Drosophila melanogaster: one gene and its partners. The protein of the gene in region 2 interacts with the protein of the main gene of each other region in a biochemical or structural test. Each region holds a gene or a part of one and is shown on either strand. Other genes may lie near its edges.

Region 1 (6,493 bases), on a different chromosome or scaffold from region 2:
CGAGCTATAAAGGAAAAGCGCTTTCCAGCCAACCACTTGATGCTTCCACAGAGTCAATAGTAGATAAATGGCAATTTCTTTCCGCCCGCTTCTTTGGGCCTTTGTTTGAGCTTCGAGAAAAGCAAATAGCGCCAGGGGAGACGGAAAAGATGGGAAAAGCGTTGGGTGGGCCGGGTGGTCAGGCTGGGAGCCAGAGTCACTGCCACTTGACTATTAAAATATGCGAAAGGCCCACTAAACACATGCGTGGGCAGCGCTTCACCCCAACTCATCAGCTGAGGCGATTAACTTAATGGTGCTGGCTAACTGATTGACCGACAAACGACTGGCTCCCAGGAGCCATCCACTTTCTATTTGCCCACGAGCTAAAGGATTTATGGTTGCCCCAAGGGATGCAGGATGTCCCCCACTCCGCCGATGTGAAGGCAGCCAGACGGAGATGAAGCCCGGAACGGAGTCGAGGTCACGATGAATGGCAGCTCTTGATTTCGGAATAATTAACTTAGACATCTAATTTGAATGGGGGTCTAAACTGTGACTCGGTTTTAATTCGGGAATTGGAAAGGGTAATTTGATCAACACTTAAGAAACAACATTTACATGTGTCTGCTTTAAGAACGTACTTTTTAAGATTTTAGAGTGTTTCTGAACTATTTGTTTTTTTTTATATATTTATAGTATATAGTATAGTATATATAGTATACAGTACATAGTAATTACCTTTCTATATATTATGAATTCGTTGAAAAATTGCAATGACTAATTTTGTTCGCTGTCGCTTATCTTTGATTTATTTGTCCGCACATTTCTTTGTTTAATTACAAATGTCGTACCAGATATTTACTTTTATTTATGTATATATCGTGAATCAACGTATCAAAAAGTATAAACGTATAAAAAGTGTTTATTAGATTGCAAAACAATTACATTTTGAAATGTCCATGGTTAAGAGACTTGAATTAAACAAAGCAATCATCGATCGGGGGCAGGTATCCACTGCAGTAGTGCCAGGTGGACCAGGCTGACCAGCCCTGTTGACCCAGGACCTTTAGGGCACATCTTACGGAACTTTTGATGTCATCGGTCAAGAGAGCGTTGCAACTCACATCGCAGCCATTGTGGGAGAACTTTCCACTGGACGGCTGGCACCAGTACATGTCGTTGATCTGGAAAATGCCATAGTCGTTGGATCCATCGGTGTTGGGAGGCCCCACCACTCCGGTGCGGTAGGAGCTCTCGTGCTCTGCAATGCACGCCCACTTGGACAACTGGTCACGAGAAACACCCATATTGGCCATCTCGCGCGCCAGTGAGCAGCGATCCATGGTGCGACCCAGGACAGCTGGAGTGACTAGTGCCAGGACACAGATTCCTAGGAGGGCTCTCATGGCGAATTGGTTGGATGTCGATGAAGTACTGCGTGGCTAAAGACTGTTCATTCTTTTATACCCGGGGAAATAAAAAAAATCTGATTAAAGATAAGAACTATATTCTATACAAAGAAGAAACCAGCGGTTCTTATTATTGAGGGTATTCAACTAAATCTGGGCTTTCTGGGCACACCTCACAGACTGGATGATGTCGTCTTTGAGCATGTCGTTGCAGCTCGTGTGGCAACCGTTGTGTGAGAACTTTGAACATTGGACCGGATCACCTGAGTTAGTGGTAAGAAAATTTCTTAGGAAAATTATAGGTACCTTTAGATTGTCTGATTTGACTAGGCAACAGAAAAATGCATATCTTGTAGGTAAGTTATGGCAGACTGACGATTTCCATTTCCCCATTTACATTTATCAGTTGGGGTGGCGATTACATCTCCTATCGTATCTTATAATATAAAATAATATAATATAATATAATATATTATAATATAATATATTATAATATAATATATTATAATATAATATAATATAATTGCTGTTTTAGATAGATAATGACCAACCTTATTCATAATTTTATAATTTTCTAAATTAATTGATAGATAGTTTTTGTACTTTTAAAATTAATTAAATAATTTTCGAAATTGCATTTTGTGAAATGAAGACTGATTCGTTCGTACACATTTACTATAAAAATATATGCCCGATAAGAAATCCCCAGCCGGGGGAAATCCCCATTTTCTAGATCCGCCCCTGGCTGTTCGTGCCAAAGCGCAACAGCATTGCAATTCGCAAGTCACCACCATTGGAAACGGGGAGCGGAAGTGACTCACTGCGCAGGCGCGCTTCCTGTCAACCCCCAGGACAGAGTGAATGCCGCTGACCCCCCAACCTTTGCCCTGCCAGCGGTAAACAAAAACAAGTTTGGCTTACCAGCGAGAGAGAGAGAGAGAAATAAAGAGAGAGCTTGCGGATGACAGCTGAAAGTCCCGAATTTCCCTGGCTTGGGCCTCCACTATTTCTGATTTGGCACCACTCACATCTGGAATTCAGACGGGGGCACGCCAGCAACGTCAAGGAAATTATCGATTTTCGCATGTGAAGTGAAAAAAGTGACTCCGTTGGCAAAAAACTGTAGCGCGAGCAGGACTCCAGTGAAAATCTAACCAAAAGCAGTTCACACGGACTAACTAAAAGCCCCAGCTAGCCTGTAGTGGAGGGCGTGGCAGCTGGTCGGACCCTGGTCCCCAAACGACATGGCCGACAGCGAATTCGAGGAGTTCCACAGGCCCATATTTGAGCCACATACGATTGCTGGATTCGGATCAGGAGCAGGCAGCAAGAAGAATAATCCACATGCATTTTACTCGTAAGTTGAAAGGTGAAAGGCTGTGGTAAGAAGCAATCTGGCGAAGCTTGCTGTAGCCAAGACGTGTGCACGTGTCCTGAAGAGCACCCCTTGAAACTGGTTGGGTATCCTTGAAGGGAACTGTTCGCAACAGAAATCACAAAAGTCACTGATGGAACTGTTTAAAAGTATGCAACGAATTGTGTGCATGCCTTTGGACATTCTTATGAATTATTCCAAACTCGCTGTGATTTCTGTGCGATGGCATGAGTTCAGTTTCATCAGTAAAGCCCTTTTCACAGCTTAATTCCCAACGATGACCTGGAGGACTCGCACTCCTCGAAGAGCGATGGCGACGGTTCGGATCAGGAGGATGGCATTGGTCTTGTGGATCACGAGCCCAAGATGCGTCAAGTGGAGGACGATGAGCTGGGCGACGGGCTGAAAGTCACTCTGTCCTCGGACGGCTCGCTGGACACCAACGACTCGTTTAATTCGCACCGACATCATCCGTTGAACCACCAGGATGCGATTGGTGGCTTCCTGGGCATGGACACCAGTGGATTGGGTGGCAATAGTGCACCTGTGACCATTGGAGCCAGCACAGATCTGCTGGCACCCAATACAGCTGCCACGCGACGTCGTCGCAAGTTGCCGGAAATACCGAAAAACAAGAAATGTAAGTTTATTGAAAACTTAGTTCCTGGCTAGAGTATCCTGCATGCAAGTAGTTTCAGGGGCTATGCCGGTTTTCAAAACTAGTATTTGGTTTTCCACAACACATCTATTCGTCATATCCTATTTTGGGAGCCGGATAGTCCTTCTTAACATCCCTTCGTAGTTTCGGGCTAACCCACTCATGGCCTCGTTGCAGCTTCCATTCTGCATCTTCTAGGTGGCTCCAACTTTGGCTCCCTGGCGGATGAGTTCCGCAACGGTGGTGGTGGAGGAATCCCTCCAGCAGTTCGCAGTGGACAACAGCGCTCATTTCTGTCCCTCAAATGCGGCTACTTGATGGACGAGGACTCCAGTCCGGATTCGGAAAGGATGCAGAGTCTGGGCGACGTGGACAGTGGTCACAGCACGGCGCATTCGCCCAACGACTTTAAGAGCATGTCGCCGCAGATCACGTCTCCCGTTTCGCAGTCCCCCTTTCCGCCTCCCTTTGGGGGCGTGCCCTTTGGCCAGCTGGAGATGCTGGAGGCCACTCACCGTGGTCTGCACAAGTTTGTGCCGCGGCACCACGACGAGATCGAGCTGGAGATCGGCGACGCCATCTACGTGCAAAAGGAGGCCGAGGACCTGTGGTGCGAGGGTGTGAATCTCCGCACCGGAAGGCAGGGCATCTTCCCCTCGGCCTACGCCGTGGACCTGGACTACAACGAGTTCGATCCCACAGTGCAGCTGGTGAAGAAGGAGCGCTATCTGCTGGGCTACCTCGGATCCGTGGAGACGCTGGCGCACAAGGGCACCGGAGTCGTTTGCCAGGCGGTGCGCAAGATTGTCGGGGAGTACGGCAACTCACCGACCGGACAGACGTGCATCCTGGAGGTTTCCGACCAGGGACTTCGCATGGTGGATCGATCGGGCCCGAATGTGAGTAGGATACATACATATATACATCTTCATTAATAACCGATATAAAAACCGATTTCGTGAAACAGCAAAACAAAAAGGACAAGAAACCTTGCATCGACTACTTCTACTCCCTGAAGAACGTCTCCTTCTGCGCATTTCACCCTCGCGATCACCGCTTCATTGGCTTCATCACCAAACATCCCACGGTTCAGCGGTTCGCCTGCCACGTCTTCAAGGGCTCGGAGTCGACCAGACCGGTGGCCGAGGCAGTGGGGTGAGTCCTCAAGCAGTCATCCCCCCAAAACAAACGCTCGAATAACATGTTAACACTCCTTCTTTCAGCCGTGCTTTCCAGCGATTCTATCAGAAATTCATTGAAACCGCTTATCCCATCGAGGACATCTACATTGAGTAGGCTTGCAAGGCGGTTTGTGCATTAATCAATACGATATATTTTTTGTGCGGTTATTACGAATAAAAGCAAAGATAAGTCTCAAGAATATTTGCTCTTCTTCAAAGAGAATCTCAAAGCAAAATCAATAAGCTCGCAATAGAAACCCTAGCTATAGATTATTATCATTTATCCGTTTTGAACAAATGTGCAAGATCTTAGACATGTAAATAGTTAGTTAACTTTCGTTCAAAATCCCCACTTCACACTCACACTCACACTGAGCTTCAAGCAATCAGCAATAGTTGCCCCCTCTATAGGAACCGCCTTTAAACTCGAGTTCACTGGATATATGGACAGAAGCAAAAGAACACCTTGAACACCTTGAATTTTGTATCGGGAGTCAGTTGGGTCAGTTGGGTCTATTGTAAATCGGAGATAAGCAATTTGGATTGGTTATAGATATCCAGACCCTCCTGTAACCACATCCTTAACCTGGCAATGCACAAAATAGAGTGAGGCCAAAGTAATTTAGCGATCTTCGTGTAACCTTAGTTTAGTTATGCCAATCTTTCAGTTACCAGAGACTCAACAATATCGAACACCAGCTGCTACGTTTTGAAGTATTCTCAATTAAAGCCCAGTATAAGATGTGTAAACCTTTAAAGTTGTGTACACGCAGGCGAATATATACTGTATATGTATACAAAAGAAATATATAAAGAACCTATAAATCAAACTATATTGGATTATTGGGTGCTCAAGGAAGAAAGGTGAGTTTTATTAGTAAGAGAATGTAAGCCCTTTCATCTTATATTGTAGAACTTACCCAAAAGTATGCACTTAAGCTCAATTTATAGCAAGTTGATAGAATCCCGAAATGATGGTAGATAATATTTAGCAGCCTAAAAGATAACTTATAATTTGTAAAGTAAATTATTTTACACATAAAACATGTGAGTTTATCTCTCGCGGGAAATGAATTGGTGATTTGCATAAAATTACACGACAAGACAAGATAATACTAATCGGCTATATGAAGGCAATGGCCAATTGCAGTTTAGTTTTAAGATTAACTTGTGATGACTTGTTTTGAGCGGGCCATGGAATGGAATGATGGCCCAGAAGTTCCCATTCGGATTCCACATTAGTTTTATTTCACCGCACATTTACCAATGCGGATCTACGCCGGAAAAAGAAACAATCGCACATTAATGAAAACGCCCAGGGAGTGGAGAATAAATGGCCGAGCCATTAAAATGGCGATACATCAGTTAGCCTGGGGGCATCAATCATTATGCAATTTTCGCGAAGCCGGCCAGCAGCTTTGGGCCACTTTCTTCGGAGGTGGTTCAGTGAACGGGTTGTGGCGGTGGGCCTGGTCGGATCTGCCTTTGGGCAAAGTGCTCTAACAGGAGCAGCGACTAAGACTAACTAGTTCGTGTCGCTTTTAATGGAAATGGATACCCGAAGTAGCCTTGGCAGCGACTTTGGCTGGGTTTCGGTGTGGGAACTGGTTTCGGGGTTGGGAAAATCGCGCGGCACTCGCTTGATGCACTTGTCGACGTGCCCGGCCTCTTAACTCTATCGCAAATGTGGCCAATTAGAGATTAAACGACAATTTCAATTTAAAAACGCTTGTAAAACAGACCAGCCGAAAAGCCAACCTGATTTTCCTGAGCTGCCAGTGGCGGCAATGGACTTGTCAAACCGATTCGATATCTAGAGGGGATTGCCGATGCGTTTTAGCAGTCTCTAAATCAGTCAGTAATAAAAAAAATTGAGCTTCTGATTATT
Region 2 (6,488 bases):
TTAGGATGTAAAGCGATGGAATTCGGAATCGGAATTGGATGTGGAATTGTGAATTCATAATTGGCTCACTGTGCTGGCGCTGTAAAGATTGTTTATTTCGTTTTCAGGTTTCTGCGCATTGCATTAAGATAACCGCAGCTAGATGCTCATTTTATTATACATATATGTACGTACATATGTACATACATAAGTACGTGCGCGCGTATGTTTGTACATATTTTGTTTTATAGATGAGCATCATAAATATATATATATATTTATATGTACATATATCTGTGGAATTCTAATACATCTTACATACATATGTATCTGCGAGTTATTTTTCCCCGTAGGCATGTATGTACAAACAACGATACATATGGCACACTCTGGTGGTATCATTTACAAACGCACATGGATATGGGAAATAATACCTCAACGCCAATGTGGCTGGGAAATGTGTTACCTAAGACGTCTAGCTGCCCGTATGCCCGATATGCGCGAAATCAGTGTTTACTAGTTATCCGCGCGATACATTTAGCATTTGTATTATTATTGTTCACCAACGCAATTCTTTATTATCAAACCCACATTTATTCGCGATGACACTTTGCTGTTATCGTTATCGCAGCATAGGAATAACAGTACGAAGTTGCCATCCCGATCTCTACACCGGTGAGAGTTGCCAGCCCGATTTACACGCCGGCTTATTCGATACTAATTGAGTTATCGAATGACCGTTTGTTTCGTTTAAATTTAGTATAACAGTTTTTTATTTAATCATCATTTTAAATTTTTTGTATTTTAGAAATGTTTTTATCGGTAACTAAATTATCTACTTTCCATATTCTTGTATGAAACAAAATTTTAAAAGTATGTATCGACTTTATATACCGAAATAATTTATATGGTTAAACTTTTCCATTTAAATTTTATGAATTTATACAAAGATTAAAATGTAATTAGCTCCTGAAATCAGGACAATGAAATGATTAAACTGGTATTTTAACGATTTAACTTAAGAAAGCGGGCTCAAAAAACAAGGATGAGTAAGAAATTACAAAGTTTCGCATATTGATTTTATTTTTTAATGGTTACTATATTTTTAAATACAATTTGAATATTTTATTTGTTGTAATAATTTAACAATACACGCCGTATTGTTGGTAAGCTTTAGTTTTCTTGTGACTGACTAAGGAGGAAAAAGTCGTTCTCTACCGCGTTCTATTATTTGTATTGTGTGCTTCGTAGTCCATGACTTCCTCATAGATTAGCTCCTTCCACTGCTCCACAGTGTGTTCCCTTTCGTCCACGCTGTGATCATATGGCTCCGGAGCGGGCTGCAAGAGATGCATGCAATTAAGCGATTAAAAACATTCAACATTCCTAGAAATCCAGTTTATGCCAGAATCACTTACAGCATCCACTTCCTCAGCATCATACCACACGTTGATATATTCATGCTTCAAAGCCTCGTCCACAGATATCCGCTGCTCTGGATCAATGACTAGCATTTTACTAAGAAGATTTCTAGCGTCAGAAGCCTTCCGGCGGCTATTCTGATTATTATCATTTGGAAACAAGCCATCGGGGAAAAGTCTATCAAATGAGTATCCAGTGTATCTAGGACGATTTTCCACATAGTTTCGGACGGTTGGCTGTAACCGTTGCATAAACGAGGGTGATGGTGTACCTAATTGCTCTGAAAAAACGTAAAAGTTGACAATCATAACGAGAATCAAGTTATTTAAGCAGCAACATACCAATAATTTTATTCCACTGATCTATATGATCCGTTCCAGGAAACAGCACACCGCCCCGTATCATTTCGCCCATAATGCAACCGACGGACCATATGTCCACGTTCTCTGTGTATCCCATGCCCAAAATGACCTCTGGAGCCCTGTAATATCGGGTGACCACATAGGGAGTCATCATAAAGGTAGTTCCTGCAGTACGTGCCAGACCGAAATCCAAAATTTTTAGAGTGCAGTCGGCCTTTACAACTATATTGGATGGCTTTAAGTCCTGCAAATGAAGTATTTCATATATTTCATACTCATTTTAAAGATGTATTCATACTGTACGTACTCTGTGAATAATTCCTGCTGAGTGTAAATGTTTTATTCCGCACAACATTTGATAAAGCAAATAGGACATTCTGTCGTGATCCAAGTCCATTTGGATGACCTGGCAGAGATTAGCGTCCATCAGCTCCATGACCAGGTAGACATCCTGAAACTCTTCCAAGTTCCTTTGCGGCGTAAAAGCATTAAGTAAGCCAATTATCTACGGATTAAATACCTATGTTTAGTAGAAATTTGTTAAAGTTAAAGGTGCAAGTTTCATACGTTTTTATGGTTAACAAGCTTCATTAGCTTGAATTCCCTATATGCTCGCTTGGCATGGGTTACATTTTGGAATGGTCGAGATAGTTTCTTAATCGCCACATTTTGCTGGGTGATAGTATCGTAAGCGGCGCTGAAATGCATTAAATTTGTTATTTTTTTTTTTCATATTCCAGCTAATCCCATCTAATCTAATCTAATATACAATGGAGCGTTACAAATATGACTTCATACTCATGCGAAATATCTTAATTGTTTAAGCCAAAAAATTGTTAAATGTATTATATGTAATAACATATTGATAACCACTTACCATACTATTCCTTGGGCACCTGATCCTATGGGCCGTAGATTAATGTACCGACTGTGGATGGTGAAGTTGGTGTCCCCCACCTCGACGGTGTAGTGTTGGTGCTGAGCTGTCGTCATTGTTCACTGATTTTATTTATTACTAGTTGAGAGCAAGGAGCATATCGGCCTTTTCAAGAGGGTAAATAAGATAAATCAATACGGTTTTACAGTGTGATTCTGTTTTATATAAGGAGCAAAGACGTCCGTATGTATGGCTCCATTCTGAATGGGTGGAGGCAGTTTTCAGACAACTTCGTCTGGAATTAGGGGGTAGGAAAACATTAACTTTGCCTGGCCTTATTTCGGCAGAATGTTATGGCCATTAAGTGGGTCTCTGTTGTCGCGAGGGGTGAAATTTACTGGCTAGTGTGTGGCGAGTTTGTTGCCAAACCACGAGCAAAAAATATCGAGTTCCTTCAAAAAGATACAATTGCATAACGCAGTCACTTATTTGAGCCGACTTCGAATGCCGAACCCCCTTTTCTATTGATAAGCATTTAAATGTTTGCCGAACACATGTCGAATATGGTTGGAAAAACACCCAACAGAAATAACCGAGCGTTTCGTTCTTTGAGCAAAGTGTTTAGCGGCACGCACAGGAAAAAAAACCGATTTAAAATCGATATGTCCGGCTTAAACATAAAAGTACGGAATGTTGGACCACAGCGATGTACATAGCGTTCATGTGTATGCATGCCGTTGCCTGTGTAAATATGTACATACACACGATTTGTATGCGGATGAAAACTGTAAACTTCTACTGGTATACATATGTGTAAGATGTAAGCCACATACATACATATGCACATACAGCCACACAAATGTGGGTCGATAATTTAGTAACTTTTCAAACTATCTCTCAGATAAAAGATATTCCCCGTATTCGTACATCGAAAAAGCGCTCGTTTGCGCTGCAGATAATAAAGCGGTCTACGCTTCGGGTAGTGTCGATATGTAAACGTTAGACATTTGCGCATACATAGGTACATACACTCTTTGGGCAGTTGACATTTTATGTTAAATATCAATAATTTTTTTCATAACCGGCACAACTATAATTGCTTTCAATCGATTATGGCACGTTTTGCAGGAGTGTTTCGGTGATTCGATATTTGATGTGAATGGAACGTAATAGAATATTTATTTACCATTTAACGAAGAAGTACAGAATTTCTTGTGAAAATATAAAATCGATTTTTTTTCTATTTTATTCTACACACTGGGCACTCAAAGTGGCGAGCATTTTAAACTATGTTAATGTTATTGAAATTTAAGAATCAACTATCTGCGGCACTTTCGCATGAGAATAATTGTACATGGATACAATACAATATACGAAAATCTATTGGAATATTCGATCACAACAAAGTTACTTAAATCGATGTGACCAGATTGCAGTAGGACCAAAACCAGAAACGGCTAAAGTCAGCCAATCGACTTTTGATTAAAATTAGGTTTAATTAGGGGTTTAAAACCTAATAAGTGTTAATAACTTACAAATAAACATATACAAATGCAATTTATTTAATAAAGACCAAAAACTAAGTTGGCGCAGTGTTTCATTTCACCGTTCCGGTCATTAGATATTCCTTTGCTCGACTTATCGAGTATACATCGAATGACGAATGAGAAATACTGTCATCACTAACAATAAATAAAAACAAAAGAGTTGAAATACACAGCGATATGAGGACGGTTGGTTTTTGGCCACTGATGAATCACATAAGCTGATAAGTGCTAATTTTAAAATCTTGTCCTTGCAGTCATCACCAGCACTTAAATACCTATTGGAGAAGGATGTTCAGGTGTCGAAGCATTTTGTAGTAGCCGTCTCCAATCTGTCGTTCTTCAAATCCCTGCGGATCCACAGCAGATTTCTGGAGATATCATGCGATGGAATCGCCTGGTTTGTCTCATGGATCGCCTTCATCTGGTTGCTCAGCTCGAAGAGCTTGTATCAAATGCAAGTCAATATGCTCTTCGGCCTGATACTCGACGTAGTGATCGTGGCCGTGCTGAAGGCGCTTGTTCGTCGCAGGCGACCGGTGGCCAGCAAGGATATGCTGACCATTGGACCCGATAAGTTCAGCTTTCCCTCAGGTCATGCCTCCCGGGCGTTCTTTGTGCTGCTGTTCTTCGCCAAGCTGTATCCGCTTCACATCATATTCCTAATGCCGGTCACAGCTTGGGCTGTAAGCGTGGCCATCTCACGGCTCATCCTCCAGCGTCATTATATTTTGGATATCTGCGCCGGTGCTGCCATCGGAGTGTTGGAGGCACTAATCGTGGGACTTCTGTGGATCAGCGAGGAAACTGCATTTAGCATTGTGGGCTTTGTTACCGAGGAAACTGTCGACAGCATGGAGTAACGATAAGTTACGATTGGAACACCGAAAGCAATAGATAATCTCTAGATCATTATGATAAATGCTTTAACCAAATACATTGTTAATGTTAAATTCATATTATTGTGTATTTCGCATAATTTTTCTACCCTTATTTCACTGTGAAAAGGGAAAGTGTACTTTAAATGAGACTAAAGTCGTTATACAACCATCTTTAATAAAATAAATAAAGCTTTTGAAGATATTTGGATTATTAATTATAAGAAATTATAGTGTAATTCCTTTGTTCCGAGTCATAGCACTCCTAAATATATCGATTCATCGATAAGGAGTCAACAACCCCAACGACTTCGTCGGGGGATGAAATGTTGTATGCCACATAAAGTTTTCGCGAAAGGATAAATACAAAAATATTTTCGGAATCGTTGGCATGTCAATTGGACTATTGAAATAACAAAAGGCTTCATATTGTTAGCTAGATTAAGCAATATGAACAAATACTCGGCATTTATAGTCTGCATTTCGCTCGTGCTTTTATTTACAAAAAAGGATGTGGGGAGCCATAATGTGGACTCAAGAATATATGGGTAGGTATTTTCACTGAAAGTTTTCCCAAGTTTCCGCAACAATAATTAGCGAAATACTTTTGTGTGGAATTAATAATTAATGAAATCATGAGCTTAACATGTTTTATATATTTTTAAATTACTAAACATAGTGTATACTCGAATGCAGAAATCTTTAGACGCCCTTATCCTTTTAATCCTTAAAAATGCAATATATTATTTGCCCTGCAGTTTCCAGCAATCATCAGGTATTTGCCATATTTACAATGGCACCATTTGTCGCGATGTCTTGAGCAATGCCCATGTTTTCGTATCCCCCAATCTCACCATGAACGATTTGGAGGAGCGATTAAAGGCAGCTTATGGAGTAATCAAGGAATCCAAGTGAGTATGATAACTATTTCAACATTCCGTTGCTAATGCCAAGTGCATATTTTCAGGGATATGAACGCAAATTGCCGCATGTACGCTTTGCCCAGCTTGTGTTTCAGTTCAATGCCAATTTGCCGGACTCCAGAGCGCACGAATCTCTTGTACTTCGCCAACGTGGCCACAAATGCCAAGCAACTGAAGAACGTCAGCATTCGACGGAAGAGAACCAAGTCCAAGGACATTAAGAACATAAGCATATTCAAGAAGAAGTCCACCATCTACGAGGATGTGTTCAGCACAGACATATCGAGTAAATACCCACCAACCAGAGAGTCTGAGAACCTAAAACGCATTTGCCGCGAAGAGTGCGAACTTCTGGAGAACGAGCTGTGCCAGAAGGAATATGCCATTGCCAAGCGACATCCCGTCATCGGGATGGTGGGTGTGGAGGATTGCCAAAAGTTGCCGCAGCACAAGGACTGCCTATCCTTGGGCATCACCATCGAGGTGGATAAGACGGAGAATTG
Region 3 (5,317 bases), on a different chromosome or scaffold from region 2:
CGATACACGATAGAGCTATCGATTGTTGGTTAGGAACATTTACCATCTCTAGAAGGCCGCACGTGTTTACGTTCGGTGGGAAATATTCTTGGTTTCTGTTAAGAAAACGTTGCTATTTAAAGGCTACAGATATGCCGCGCTCCAAACGTGATAAGAAAGGTGAGAGTTTCGGCTTTAATATATACGATTTGTACTTATAACGTGCGATACTCTTCTTCCCTTAGTTTCCCTGACCAAAACCGACCGCAAGGGTCTGGCTTGGAAACAGCGCATTGTGGACGACATTCGGTTCTGCGTGGGCAAATACCCAAATATATTCGTTTTCCAAGTTCAGAACATGAGGAATAGCTTGCTGAAGGATCTGCGACAGGAGTTGAAAAAGAATTCTCGTTTTATCTTTGGCAAGAATCGTGTTATGCAGATTGGCTTGGGTCGCACGAAGAGCGAGGAAGTGGAGCCGGAATTGCACAAGGTAATTAAGTTTAAGTGGATTAACATATATCAGACACTAATCACAGGCTATGTCTATTAGCTATCCAAGCGATTAACTGGCCAGGTGGGACTGCTTTTCACGGACAAATCCAAGGAGGAAGTCCTGGAGTGGGCAGAAAACTACTGGGCCGTGGAATACGCACGCAGTGGCTTTGTGGCCACGGAAACGGTTACCCTGCCAGCAGGTCCCCTAGAGGACTTCGCCCACTCTATGGAACCGCATCTGCGTTCCCTGGGCCTGCCCACCAAATTGGAGAAGGGAATCGTTACGCTGTACAGTGACTACACGGTTTGTGAGGAGGGCAAAGTTCTAACACCCGAACAGGCGAGAATCCTCAAGCTGGTGGGCAAGCCCATGGCCAAATTTCGGCTGACCATGAAGTGCTCGTGGACAAAAAGCGAAGGCTTCCAGCTGCATGTCGAGGATGATGTGAACGACGAGGAACAGGCTGATAGCGCAATGGAAGAGGAGGCCGAGGCCGAGGCCATGGATGACAACGACGACGATGATGACGAAGAGGAGGATGATGAATAAATAAGTTTAAGGCGTAGAAATAATTTTTTTATGTATATATCAAGTGCAGAAAATATACGTATATTTTAAAAGTACATTACATATTATCTTACGTTCAACACAGATAATACTTGATTAACACTAGCTTATACTAATAACTAAGTAAACAAAACACTTAAGAAGCATTTCAGATATTGCAGCTAAAACCAAAGAAAGGCACAAAGCCTCAGGTTGCGTCGTCCGCGAGGATGTAGAGCACCAGAGGCTGTTCGTTATCGCTCTCCTCCTCCAGGAGTTCGCTGTTAGTTAGGGAAATATCCTGAGAGGCCGAGCCCTCCAGCTCCAAGGCACCGGTGCTAGCACTTGAAAAGAATTCCAGAGGCATGGGTTGCTCGGGATCTTCAGGATTCGAGGGGGTTTCAGTCTCCAGTGCCACGTCCTCCTCATCATTCTCCCCGGCTGACAACTCCAAATGTTATTGGTCTGTCGAGTTCGGCGGCACCGTGCAGCCCGCGGCAATGTGCTCCATCACCTGCTGCTTCAGCTGCGCCACATGGTCCTTGAGGTTCTTCACGATGCTAGCCAGGTCGACGTTCTCGCCCTTAAGTACCTTCACGCGATCCTCCAGCTTTGAGATGCGCTCCAACTTGCGCTTGCGGCACTTGGATGCAGCCACACGGTTACGCTGCCTCTTGCGCTCCAGCTTGATCTTCTCCTGCGCTTCCATGTCAATGGGATTAACGGTGGGCGAGCTGGCTTGATTGACGGGCTCGTCCTTAATCACCGAGAAGCCCTCGGTCATGTTGGTGTAGGTGAAGGTGCCTCCGCTGATGCCATTGTTCACCGCTGTCATGGCTGCCGCAGTTGTGTTATTGGCGGCGGAATTAGCGGCGGAATTGGCGGACGGAAATGCCTGGGAGTTAGTGTGAAGATTGTGTAAGGCCTCCTCGAATCCCCTGCCGAAGTCCAACTGCTCCACGGTGACGGGCCCCGCCTTGGTGGGGAACACCTTTCCCGGCTGCGGTGTTTGCATCAGATTGTTGGATAGCAGGATCTTCTCCAAATCGGGTGTGTTTACCGTCTTGGATGACAGATCCGGTGAGTTGATGACCAGTGGTGCGAAGATGCGCTTGTTCTTGGCACTCTTGCTGTTCAGATCCAGCGAGCCGGGACGCTTGTTAGGATTCGGGGTGGATGTGTTCAGGTTCGGCGACTGAAAGTCCAGTGACATGGGGCCTTCTTCTCCAACGGGCTCGGTTTTAGGTATGATCTGAATGGCAGTTGCTCCGGAACTGCCAGCATTCTGAATACTTAAGTTCGCAGCAGCGGAAACGGGGGTTTTCATGTTTGCTCAAGCAATGACGTCAATCTGATTCGGATGAAGTGAAAGAGACGAAAACGGAATGAAAACAATCTGATAAAAACTCGTTTCGCGATGAGTCATGCGAATAACTCGCTCTTCTTCTTACTCACCAGTGGGTGGGAACTTTGCTTGCAAAATTTGATTAGCACAATCTGTACTTTTGTGTTTTCTGCTTTCTGCACTGCCACTGCTTAATCACCGGTTTTATCGGCCAACGAATCGTTTGATTTTTATTTTGGTTTCGCTAAATAATTTTACGAAAATATTTATTACGCGCAAGGTTGTTTTCAGAATGAGTGCTAGCGGTGGTACAAGTGTCGATTATTTATTCGATATTGCTATCGATACTGGTCTTTAAATGCGATGTTTAAACAATGGGCAGCATTGACTCAAGCAAGAAGCTTAGCAGTGACACAAACCATTACCGGTAGCTAAGTTAATAAAATACAATATAGGTTTTTTTTAACATTTACTAAATCATTATGAAAGGTGAATGGAAACAAGGCCGTCGCTAGTCTTTCATGTTTTTCTTGAAATTTTCTTGATGTTTGGCAGTAAAAGAAGATGCAATAGATCTCTTTATCACTCCTGGGCGTCGGTAAATAGGAAAGGAAATATATTTTTCGGTCTGGTTAAGATATTGTTTTCGCACTTGGGGAACCACAAACTGTCCAGACGGATCCATTATGTCAGGAACTCCAGGAAAACACTGATGCTCATGATTTTGTGATTTTGCGAGTTACAATTGAAAAGGGGAAACAAAATATGACACTTAACTCGGAACATTCGCAAATAATTTGAAAACATCCGAGAAAAAAGGCCATACGTTTTTGGGATATTCCCGATATATTTATATTCGACATTTATGATAACTGTATAGCAATAAATATTTTCAAATATGGGTTTTTGTTCTGTTTTGTTTTGTTTTTCAAACTGTAGCATATACATCAAGTTTAAATATATATATTTGTTCGTTTATGTAAATACATTAATAATATTTTGATTTCGCAACCAAACGTCTTGCTGTTGTTCAGATTGGTATATATGCTGGCCCTAAAAGATTTACACATTTATTAAACTCCTTGTATATATTAATAATCACATCTATAGATTTGTTAGAGCTTCAAATATTTGTCTTAGTTATGTCCATTTATTGTAAGCACGTTGAAACACATTAATGTATATGTTCATCTGTAGACAAGTAATGCGGAGAGAGAAGTCTCAGATACTATAGTTAGTTGCTCTGCATTTGGCGTTCGCAAAGATACATAGTTTTTTTCCCGGTGTAGGCTAAAATCGTTATATATGTATAATGTGTATAGTGTATTATGGTATGGCACACGCACGTATGTATGTGCACACATCCAAGTCAAACCGAATAGAAGAATTCTGACGGTGACTTTGGAGGACTAGCTGCCAATGTGAGCTCTGCCTTTCATTTTGCTTAGAATGTCAAGCGAGTTGAGTTACTTAAAAAGCTGGCTGTGGATTAAATACTTGTATGTCTTGGTTAAGCATATGTATGTGTGTTATGTTTCGTCTATGATCACGTTTGTACACTTAAACACCCATAAAACGTGCAAATATGTTTCGAAAAATTCCATTTTACGCTGAACACTTAAACCAAATAAATCGGGCCGCATCGGGCGTCTACTGCGATTAACTGAATCCAAATTGTATGTATATCTATATGCATCTCTTTAGGTATCTGGTAAACTCTAGTTGGCTGCTGCCGCCTCGCGAGGCGGTCAGGAAAATCCATCAAAATATTATGTCATTGTATGCGACGACTATTTGGTTTTGAATCAATCGTTTGTTTGATTTTTGCCAGTTCAGCAAGGTTTTTATATTGGTTTTTTGGGCTCATATTGTTATCTTCTCTCTCTCTCTCTCTCTGCTTTGCATTGCGGGGTTGTCATTTTCATTTTCGATTTATGATTTTCTTTTTAAACGCACACAAAAGAGACGTTAGGAAAACACTGGGCGGCAATTCGGAGCAGTTCGCTTAAAGCCCAATCTCCCGCATGGCCCTGTACAAGCAGGGATTCTTCAAGCACTCCCTAGGACCCAGCTGCCGGCCGTGTGATCCCCGCAGGATCATCAGGATGGAACGGGCCGCCGACTGGCAGTCGTTGCTGTCGCCGCAAACGCTATCCGCCTCCGCCAAGTACTGATAGTCGCAGGCTACCTGTGAGGCACCCTGGAAACGGAAATGCAATGGGTAAACTATAGTTAACCATACTCGACTCAGGCATCCTGTTTTCACTTACACATAGATAGCATATCTGGTGAACACCGCAGAGGGGCAGGAGCTCCTGGTTAATGTCTCCGGAGATGAGATCGACGCCCCGACAGCGCTCCGCCATGGACTCGATAATGGGGCACTGGTTGGAGCCCACAATGTAGTTCTTGTTGCCCAGATAGGCGTCGTTTAGGGTCTCGTAGGGAGCGCTGCCCAGGCTGAGTGCCTCCTCCATGGTATTTGGCTGCTCCGGATAGCGCAAGTAACCACTGCGCTTCCTCTTTTCCATGTCCTTGGGTGGTCTCGAGTCTCTGGAGGATTTGAGAAATAAACACATCGAAATAATGTAAATTTAAGGGCATTTTCATTTACTCTGCCAGTTGATCTGCCTGCTCCTTCTTCACCGACTTTTTGTTCAACCAGTAATTGGAGTCCAACGCGTTCTCCTCGGATTCCGGTTCGATGGTATTGCGCATCAGGTGACTCTCGTTGTCCACTGATCTCCTTAACTTATCCAGAGCCCTGCGCATTTTCTCCAGACTGTAAGCGGTTGCCAAGCGCGAGAGGACATGGTCCTTGATTCTGCGGATGTCGTCCTTGCTGTTGAGTCCCTCGTGTGCACCCGTATACTTGATGGTCTCGTCGATGATGAAGTCCTCGATGGACTGCAGCTTCTTGTCCATGCTGTCCAGCTTTTCGGCATCGA

Evidence for each region. Proteins that work in one complex are often made in the same cells at the same time.
Region 1: the proteins of bsk (region 2) and Aplip1 form a complex in vitro, tested with the Drosophila melanogaster proteins (one study listed by BioGRID).
Region 3: of the proteins of bsk (region 2) and Jra, one has a biochemical effect on the other in vitro, tested with the Drosophila melanogaster proteins (2 studies listed by BioGRID).

What each region holds. Positions count from the first base shown.
Region 1 is NT_037436.4:1,193,908-1,200,400, forward strand, and holds Aplip1 (APPL-interacting protein 1), read left to right. Parts: upstream 1-2,409; 5' UTR 2,410-2,635; coding exon 2,636-2,748; intron 2,749-3,029; coding exon 3,030-3,406; intron 3,407-3,601; coding exon 3,602-4,323; intron 4,324-4,391; coding exon 4,392-4,579; intron 4,580-4,647; coding exon 4,648-4,720; 3' UTR 4,721-5,432; downstream 5,433-6,493. Other genes in the region: LysX (lysozyme X), read right to left, coding at 960-1,388. UniProt on the Drosophila melanogaster protein: The JNK-interacting protein (JIP) group of scaffold proteins selectively mediates JNK signaling by aggregating specific components of the MAPK cascade to form a functional JNK signaling module.
Region 2 is NT_033779.5:10,246,455-10,252,942, forward strand, and holds bsk (basket), read right to left. Parts: upstream 4,048-6,488; 5' UTR 3,827-4,047; intron 3,289-3,826; exon of another isoform or gene 2,806-3,288; 5' UTR 2,757-2,805; coding exon 2,641-2,756; intron 2,461-2,640; coding exon 2,331-2,460; intron 2,269-2,330; coding exon 2,071-2,268; intron 2,008-2,070; coding exon 1,743-2,007; intron 1,682-1,742; coding exon 1,398-1,681; intron 1,320-1,397; coding exon 1,194-1,319; 3' UTR 1,048-1,193; downstream 1-1,047. Other genes in the region: CG31717 (uncharacterized protein), read left to right, coding at 4,365-4,373, 4,442-5,047; Ror, read left to right, coding at 5,513-5,610, 5,821-5,973, 6,030-6,488. UniProt on the Drosophila melanogaster protein: Mitogen-activated protein kinase and key component of the c-Jun N-terminal kinase (JNK) pathway which phosphorylate and activate transcription factors involved in a wide range of biological processes including response to various stresses, cellular proliferation, differentiation and migration, and regulation of cell shape.
Region 3 is NT_033778.4:10,094,301-10,099,617, reverse strand, and holds Jra (Jun-related antigen), read right to left. Parts: upstream 3,139-5,317; 5' UTR 3,022-3,138; intron 2,691-3,021; exon of another isoform or gene 2,614-2,690; 5' UTR 2,480-2,613; intron 2,376-2,479; 5' UTR 2,352-2,375; coding exon 1,482-2,351; coding exon of another isoform or gene 1,233-1,481; 3' UTR 1,062-1,232; downstream 1-1,061. Other genes in the region: RpLP0-like (ribosomal protein LP0-like), read left to right, coding at 132-159, 225-472, 533-1,027; CG2269 (uncharacterized protein), read right to left, coding at 4,375-4,569, 4,640-4,922, 4,984-5,317.